Linked DNA regions of Sus scrofa. The protein of the gene in region 1 purifies or fractionates together with the protein of each later gene. This does not show direct contact. Links are inferred from orthologs where the notes say so. Each region holds a gene or a part of one and is shown on either strand. Other genes may lie near its edges.

Evidence for each region.
Region 2: the proteins of RANBP10 (region 1) and RMND5A purify together in Homo sapiens (affinity purification with mass spectrometry; 4 studies listed by BioGRID and IntAct, counting the BioPlex papers as one, with this or other methods). This does not show direct contact. The link is inferred for Sus scrofa from reciprocal best matches to the Homo sapiens genes RANBP10 and RMND5A.

Annotation. Positions count from the first base shown.
Region 1 is NC_010448.4:28,425,486-28,429,886, reverse strand, and holds the start of RANBP10 (ran-binding protein 10), read left to right. Parts: upstream 1-1,503; 5' UTR 1,504-1,539; coding exon 1,540-1,774; intron 1,775-2,543; coding exon 2,544-2,655; intron 2,656-4,401. Other genes in the region: TSNAXIP1 (translin-associated factor X-interacting protein 1), read right to left, coding at 882-928. UniProt on the Homo sapiens protein: May act as an adapter protein to couple membrane receptors to intracellular signaling pathways.
Region 2 is NC_010445.4:58,093,934-58,098,529, reverse strand, and holds the start of RMND5A (protein RMD5 homolog A), read left to right. Parts: upstream 1-1,677; 5' UTR 1,678-2,308; coding exon 2,309-2,450; intron 2,451-4,596.

The DNA.
Region 1 (4,401 bases):
TTTTGTTTTAAATATATGCTTTGTGACTTTCCTGGCTAACGGAGCTTGTTATCTTATTTTCAGTGTCCAGAGGCTGCACCCTGAATACAGGCAGGAGCTAGCAGGAGGCCTCGGGATGTTTCTAGGCTGCTTAGTGATGCTTCTTTGTCATAAACCAGTGGGTGCAGAGGCTGTTAACCTTGTGGCTAAGCGCTCAGTTTCAGGAATCACACATGCCTGGCTGGGTTTGAATCCTAGCTCAGTCATTTATAAACAGGTGTAAAACTCATGATCTCTCTAGACTTCTATTTCTCTATTTGTAAAATGGTGATATTACTAATTCATAGAGTTGTTGTGAGGGTTAATTGTGCTATGTAAAGAGCATGGCACAATTCCGGCTGTGGCTCAGCGCATTAAGAACCGGACAGAAGATACGTGAGGATGCGGGTTCCATCCCTGGCCTTGTTCAGTGGGTTAAGGATCTTGTGTTGTCCTGACCTGAGGTGCAGGTCCCAGACGTGGCTCGGATCTAGTGTTGCTGTGGCTGTGATATAGGCCGGCAGCTGCAGCTCCCATTCGACCCCTAGCTTGGTTATTTCCATACGCCGCTGGTGCGGCCCTAAAAAGATAAAAAAACACAAACAAACAAACAAACAAAAAAACTTGGCACGCTCAATACAAACAAGATGGCTGTTACTAATGATAAAGTATGCCTGCCCTTTTACAAGAATGTAACGGCCTCCCTGAGCTGAGGAGTCATCTGAGATTCTGTTTCTTCATCACCTATCCTGTGCGGTTGGAGCCCCAGACCAACGGAGAGAGGTCCGAATCAGGTACCATTTATTTCTTTTTCTGGAAGTAGTAAAGCCCTCTTCTCCGCCCTCAGCCCTGCCAGCGCTTACCTCGACGTGGTCGCCAAGCTGGGGCACTGCGGTTTGGAGGAGGCCATGACCCTAGGGCAGCCGTGCAGCCAGCACTCGCGAACTGGAAAGCCGTGCTAGTGTACAGCTCGTCGCCATGGCGACCAGTTCCCAGCAGCCCAGCGGCGGGGGCGGGGTCAAGGTTGTGTCTTGCCCCCAGCCCAGAGCCCGCGGGCTAGGAGGAAGGCCAAGTAGCCAAGATGGGGTCAGACTTGGGAATAGGGTCTTCTCAGAGTCTGTCACTACAGCAGATATGACTCTAGCGACCAGAATTGAGGCAGGAGGATAAACAGAGGCCATGGGTGAGGGAGGCGAAGTGAGAGGCCAGAATCGCGTTGCCAGCGGGAACTGTAGTTTTTGGTGTCCTAATAGCTTGGCTAAGCAGGCTTATGACTGAGTCGGTTTGTACTACATCTCCCAAAGTTCTTTACCAGCCCGAGCTAGCCTCCCTATGGAGAGCTCTGCATTCTGGGAAATGAAGTCCGAAATATGGCAGGGCGTGGCAGTATGCAAAGAGAGGTACCTAACTCGGACTCGATTTCCCTGCGGCCCGGGTTTGCTCTCCGGCCATTGGCTGAGCGGGGCGGATCTAGTCCTGTTCTTCCCCGCCCCCAGTGACACAATAGCAGCTCCCTCCAAGATGGCGGCGGCGACGGCGGATCCGGGAGCTGGGAGCCCGCAGGTTGGAGACTCCTCCGGCGGGGGCGCTGGGGGCGGGCTGCCGTCTCCGGGGGAGCAGGAACTGAGCCGGCGCCTGCAGCGCCTGTATCCCGCGGTCAACCAGCATGAGACGCCGCTGCCGCGCTCCTGGAGCCCCAAGGACAAGTACAACTATATCGGCCTCTCCCAGGGCAACCTCCGCGTCCACTACAAAGGTATCGGCCTGTTTGGCCGCGGGGGGTAAAAGGCCAGAGCGTCAGCAGGGTGGCTGTGCTGTCCAGCCCCTGCTTCATCACTTCCTTTCCCCAAGCTCCGGATTAGGCCTTAGCTCCTGTTGGGTGTTTGGGTGGTGGGCTGACCAGACCGAGGATTGGCTGCTTAGCCTACTCTGCCGTGAGACTTCGGATGTCAGGAGAACCTCAACAGGTGTCCAAACCCAGTGCTGGGTTGGACATTGCACCCAAGGCCTTCTTGCCTGTCCTGTGGTAGTTGGAACTCTCCCTGGGCCCTTCACCACTGCTTAGCTTTAAACGTCTCTGTAGACATTAGTGGTCTCATCCTCTCTATTAGCCAGAGGTGCATGAGCTTGCTTACCTGCTGGACATCTCAGACACTGCCTACGGTTCTGTGCTAAAGTTGTGGGGCCATCTTCCAGGGCTGCCTCTTCCTCCCTTAGTCTCCTAAGTGGGCTGCTTGGCTGCTTGTATTCTGGAGAGTCTGGCAGCAGCACGAGGGAATCTCTCACTTGTCACCCACCTTGCATATGCCTCCTGTGGTTTGTATGGAGACAGTGTCTCAGACAGTGCTACTGTTCTGAGGATGAGGTGGGAGGTTTGTGTGTTTGCTCAGTTGTTGTCTAATTACACCTTGGACCAGGAAAGGGCTTCCTCTGGCTATGAGGGGTGAAGTTGCTGTGGAGCAGAGAAGAATGAGTCTTCCATTTGCATTTCCTTTTGCTGAAATTTCTTTGTCCTCTCTTACTAGGTCATGGCAAAAATCACAAAGATGCAGCCTCAGTGCGCGCCACCCACCCCATACCTGCTGCCTGTGGCATTTATTACTTTGAGGTGAAGATTGTCAGCAAAGGAAGAGATGGGTAAGCCCAATACTGAGCTGTTCCTTTTGGTCAAAGTTTGAGGTCTCCTGATTGACCCTTGTGACTTGTGTGAGCTGCTGAGCTGTATGGGTCTGGGCTGCAGAGGGGATTAATAGTGGCTGCCTCTGTTACCTGGCTGTAGGCATGGCCTGGTCTAAGCAGCAGCCTTTGATGGCAGTTAGGAACCTGGTGTAGAGGAGGGGCTTCTCTTTAGTGATGACGAAATGAGGTACCTCATAGGTGAGGGAACCAAGTTTACATTAACAATTCAGTGTCCAGAATGGAGTTTCCCCATTATTGTGGGGTGTTTGTGACTTCCCTCCTTTCACACTCTTGCTGCATTCAAGGTTCCTTTTTATGGTTATTAGTCATGTAGAGGCCCCTTTAGACTTCAAAGGAGTAGTAAAGTCTTTGCAGCATTCATCAAAGCTGCGGCAGCCACTGGCCTGTCATCTTAGGGTAAACAGCATGCACATGGTCAAAATCAGGTGACCTTGCTACTCATAAACTTGTTTTTCAGTCTCGGGACTTGAACACCAGTTGGACCAGCTTTAGGAAGGTCCATATTAAAGTCAGCATTAGGGAAGCTCCCTATTTTAGGGTGATCTAAGCAGACACAGGACATCACAGGGGAGATTTGTCATTTTTCTTCCTTTTTTCCTAGTCTCTCTGTTTTTTTCCTGGTAATTGTTGTAAAACAGGTGTTTAAGTTGTGAAATAACATGATTTCACCTGCCTTGGGAAAGCTTTCCTCATCAGATCTTAGGTCTGGTGTGGGGAGTTTGCTAACCCCACCAGTGACCTTCATGCCAACCCCAAATGTGTGTTCCTGAGTGTTCAGAATACTTTCTTTCTCCTTGGGACTGTCCCCCTTGTGGTGCATGCAAAATGCCCAGCCAGGGGGCGATGCTGGGGGCAGGACTGCTGCAGTTGGAGCTTTGCCTGCTTTCTCAGTGAAGCCTTAACATCCCTGCCTGGGAGAGTTGTGTGGTTGTGGGTAGGTCATGGGGCTTAGATCTCTTTGTCTGTACTGTGGGGGGCTAGGCTAGCGCTAAACTGCCTTCAGTTCCAGAATTCTATGATTCTGAAATTGTAAGGATGGCAAGCTATTGTGTCTTTTACTTTTATTCCTGTTTATTGCAGGAAGCTTGTATAATTAAAGGGCTTTAAAGCTTGTATTTTTCCATTTCCACCATCTGATGAAAGTGCATTATTTTTCTTTCCTTTTAGGGCTGCACCTGCGGCATATGGAGGTTCCCAGGCTAGGGTCTGAATCAGAACTGTGGCTGCTAGCCTATACCACAGCCACAGCAACGCCAGATCTGAGCCGAGTCTGCAACGTACACCACAGCTCACAGCAATTCCAGATCCTTAACCCATTGAGCAAGGCCAGGGCTCGAACCAGTGGACTAGCATTGAACCATGAGAACTGGCATCCTCATGGATGCTACTTTGATTCATTTCCACTGAGCCATGACAGGAACTCCCCAGAGTGCATATATTTAATGTGCTTAAACTAGTGTGAATGAGAATGGCCTCTTAAACACTGCAAAGATACAGACTGAAATGTTGGTGCTATGGTTTTATACTACCAAAGAAACCGAGGGGGGTTTCTTAAACTTGTAGGGAGGCAAATAGATTATCTTCTTTAGAGTCCTTAATTATAGATAACAGCTGAGCTAGTGAAAGAGGAGAGCAGTTTTTCAGAAGTGTTTACTTGTAGAGATGTGGGTTCCTTCACCTGGT
Region 2 (4,596 bases), on another chromosome or scaffold:
TGAATGAAGGCTCTCCCCACATCCTCAGGTCAGCTGGCCACTTAAAAAGGGAGAAGGCACGCCTTTTCTGTTGGGTACTTGACAACAGTTCATAAAATGGATACAACAGATGGACACACTTTGAGAAGGGTGACAGAAGGTGCTGGAGTTGAATGTTTTTTACCTTCTCAGTGAAGGAGGAATCAGGGCCACCTGTCAAGGGAGAGAGGAGAAAGGAAAACAGGTTAGGTGGGGAAGAGAAAGGCCATGTGTAAGAGCAACAGTGCGGCTGCCCTTGAGTATCACGGAGAACTAAATAAAACGACTAGGTAGGTGCTGGACCAACGTGATTCCATGATTTTTAAGTTGCCATCTCATATTTACTCCTGGGAACTGACACTAGTAGCAACCACCACTGTTTATCATGTAGTTATCATGTGCTACTGGGTGTTTACCTAAATTATCTTCATTTTCCTAACAATAGATCGAAGTATTATTAGTTCTAATTATTACCAAACTATAAAAAGAGACACTGAGGCTCAAAAAGGTTTTACCTTAATAATAATAATAATAAAAAGACCAGGTACTATGTTGCCAATCACTGTTCTGGGCACAGAAAACAGAGGCCAGGGGGCTGCCTTAGCGCTTTATTGAAGGAGTGCAGACAGAAAAGTGAATGAAAATAACTGAAACAGATAACAAGTGGTGAGAAAATAGTAAAACGGCTATGATTGACCATAATAAATATGGTGTAGTAATGGAGGAGGGAATGTGGTCAGGGGGGGACCCTCTGTGGTACAAGTGAGCCGAAAATTTTAGGATGACACGATGGAAGAGTTTTCTAGTCCAAAGAAAGGCTAAGTACAGAGGTCCTGAGGCAAGCATCAACTTGGCTTCTAGGAGGAACGCTAAGCTAAGGTCGGGGCAGTCACAGCTTAGTGAGCAAGTAGGTACAGGCCAAGGTAGGAGGCGCCATGGCAAGTCAGGGGAAGGATTCACGCGAAGGGGGTAACTCCATCGGAAGCAATGGAATAACGAGCCGAAGAGGCAGGAGCCAGGCTGCCCCGAGGTCCGACGCAAGTTTCCCTTCCGTGATGCTGCCCCCGGGGTGAGGCAACCCGTCAGGAGAGTCCCAGGGGCCAAAGGGCCGAGGCCCGCGGGGGTGGGGGTGGAGGTGTAAGGCTTGTGACCTCCCGGTGTAGCGAGAATCGAGGCAGGATCGCGGGCCACGCCCGGCCAACAAGCAGCCCCCTTCTCCCACCTCAGAATCCCCCTCTTCTTATTCCAGTTAGCGACCCCCGCCCGCAGCACCACCCACTCCGCTCGGCCTGGCTGGATTTTTCCTCGGGGCGGCGAGTCTGCTTTCCAAAACTTGGAGAAGACAGTACCCTCAGGAATGACAGGGAGATGAAATAACTCAGGGCTGGGGCGAAGTCCTATGGGAAATAGGCCTTTTTATTTCTGCCTTGTTTTCCCTCACGGCTTTCCAGAAACGACTTGCTTCCCAGGATGCTCTCCAAATCACCCCCTCCAACAGCGAGACTATTGGTTTGGCCTCTAGTCCCAGATTGGCTGAAGGATTAGGCCTCGGCCAGGGATTGGAGGACGTTCGTTCCTTACGTATTCTCGGCGCTTATTGGTTCGTTTTCTCCGTTTCTGGGCGGAGTGGTGACGGGCGGTTTCCACCCTCTTGTTTACGGAGCGCGTAGTTGTAGCGCTCTCGGAGCTCTGGGGCTGGCTCCAAAGTTCCCTATTTAGCTCCTCGGCCCAATTGGATCTTTGCTCCGCCCTCTCCCGCTCCCTTGCACGCCTCCCGCGTGGTAGGGCCCACACCTTTAGAGCGGCGGCGCGAGCGGACGCTCGTCACGTTCCTCCGCCCGCGCTCGCCGGCCGCCTCCCCCCGCCACGAGCGTGCGCTTGGTACGGCCCCCGCCGCCTCCATCCCTCGCTGGGGTGGCTGCCCCCCCTCGGGTCGGCGGCGCTTGGTGCCGCCCGGGAGAACCAGGTCATCGGTCGGTTCCCGTGAAAACAAAAACAATCGGCGGCGCCGCGTCGGACAGCGAACGCGGCGAGCGGGGGCTCGGGGCCGGGTGGGAAGAACGAGCGGGAGCAGCGGCGACGCGCCGGGGTCGGGGCGCCATGGGGCAGGCGGGCGCGGGCTGCGCGGAGCTCCCTCGGCGCCGGGGCTAGCGCGTCCGCCTCTTCAGTCTCCCGTGCCGCCCGCTTGGGGGACGAGGAGCAGGACGCGGCCTCGGCCGGGCCCGGGCCGAACGGCTGCGGACACCCGGGCGCTGGGCAGCCGAGCGCCGCTGCCGCCACCGCCTCCGGGATGGATCAGTGCGTGACGGTGGAGCGCGAGCTGGAGAAGGTGCTGCACAAGTTCTCGGGCTACGGGCAGCTGTGCGAGCGCGGCCTGGAGGAGCTTATCGACTACACGGGCGGCCTCAAGCACGAGATCCTGCAGAGCCACGGTAGGGCGGCCCGGGTGGGCGCGCGGGGCCAGGCCTCGGCGGGCCAGGAAGGGTGGCCTCCGGGGGCCTCGGCTCCTCCTTCCCTGCGGCCCTTTTGGCTTTTTCCTGCTTCTCTCTCCGGTTTTGTCTCCAACTTACCCCGACCTCGTTGTTAATTAAGAGTGAGCCCGAACCCACCCGGAAAACCAATTCTGAAGCCTGGGGCTCCAGCCCAGGTTAAACGGGGGTGGGGCCGTCCGTCGCACCTGCAAACTGCCGCCCTCCCGGGCTGGGCTCCCCTGGTCAGTTGCCTTGGGCATAAGGCTCTGGGTAAACAGAGAGTCAGTGCAGGGAGCCCCCTCTTTCTTCTCTGCCCCAAACTCTTAGCGCAGAGACTTACTTTTCTCGTCTTTCCTTTTCTTTCTTTTTCTTTTTTTTTTTAAATTAGAAAGTTGAGTGTTATTCTTAGCTGTGGGTTAACAGAACAGCCGCTTCTGCAACTCCATAATTTAACTCTGTGTGGAAGCAGTTTTTCTTTAATTCGGCAGCGGCACTGACTTGATTGCTAGGAAACTAGCTGAACCAAACTGTTCAGCTCTCCTCCTGGAGCCAGTGATGAGACGGAGGAACTCTCCAGAAACACATTGTGGCACAAGTTGGTAGTTAACTTGCTTACCTGGTCAAGTTTTTAACTTGTTTTCCTTTCAGAAAACAGATTTTCTATAGTAGGTGTTTTTCCTATATGGTTACTGCCTAGACCCTGGGGGCAGATACTTTGCCAAAGTTTAATTTGTGGAAGCTGCTTGGGAAGGGTTTGTTTTTTTTTGTTTTTTAAATAACATTCAACGTCTGATGTTTGAATTTAAATATCCACAGTGGTGATTCCTTCTGAGCCAGAAGTAAAGGACTTTATGTGATGGATTTATTGAAGAGCTGTTCGGAGGCCTTTTCAACTTGGAGGCAGAACAGAATTTTTTTGAAAAGGAAGGTTTGGGGGGATGTGTAGACCTGGCAGGTGAGGTTGAGGAGAGTGGTCCTAGTTGAGCCTCTCTCCACCGCTCCTTCTTTCTTGCACACCTTCCTTTCCCAGACTGCTTTATCCTGAGAGTTAGTGCTTCTGAAGGGGAAGTAGACCTAGAGTGGGGTGGGACTCTGGGGAGGTGCTGGTGAACTTGGTTTTGGACAAGTGAGAAGCTGAAGGGCTAATGAAGATTGAGTCAAGAGCTCAGTGATATTTTCTGGTGGCTGAAGATACATAGGTGGAGTTTGGGAGGAGGTAAGGTCTAGGGTGGTTTCCTGGTGTCCTTTCTGCGGGAGAGGGAAGGAGAGCCCTTAGGCCACAGGGAGGAAAGACTTTAGGATCTAAGCATAGCCTTGAAGCGTGGAAGGCCAGGAGGAGCCTGCAGAAAGGACGGGTTTAGAGAAAGAGAGGTTGGTCAAGGTTTGTGGCTGCTGGGAGTCAGTGACCCTCTTTACTTGCAGTTTCATAGAATTGTTAAAATAAACTAGGTGACAGAGAGGTAAGAAGAATGTGCAGATCAAGGTGAAGGGGGCTGCTTCAGTAAAGGGACTGAAGGAGTGCCCCTCCCCCTCCACTGGGGAGGAAATCTTGGTCTTGTTAAAGACTGAAAGGGAAGGAGTGAGTGAAGGGTGTAGACTTGGAGAGGCAGAAGGAACATTTCAGTTTTACTGACCAGGTCAGAGATTGAGGGCTGGGTTAGGCAGAGCTTGAGAGAGAGAAGATGGAAAGTAAAATCCCTTTCTTCCCTGAGAGAGAGAGAGAGAGAGAGAGAGAGAGAGATAGAGGGCATGCTAATTGAAGGGGGATGTGGTTGTGAACCTTGTTGTAGGGGATTTGGGGTCCATCCCGGGTGGACAAAATAATTTGGAGAAATTGCTAAAGTGGGAATTTTAGACCTCCTCGCTTGTTATTGGGGAACTTTTCAAGGAATTTACAGCCAGTAGGATATTAGCCACAGAGTTTGCTGGGCTGTTTAAAAAGTCTGATGTGATGAATTGCTCATGTTTTCTTTTCAGCCTCCTGCTTTTTACTTTGTCTACCAAATTGCAGTCTTATATTGATATCTCTGATTTTCTCCAATTCTTTGCTAATAGGATGACATGACTAAAGGCAACTATAAAATATGAAAAAAATACTGCTTAAATG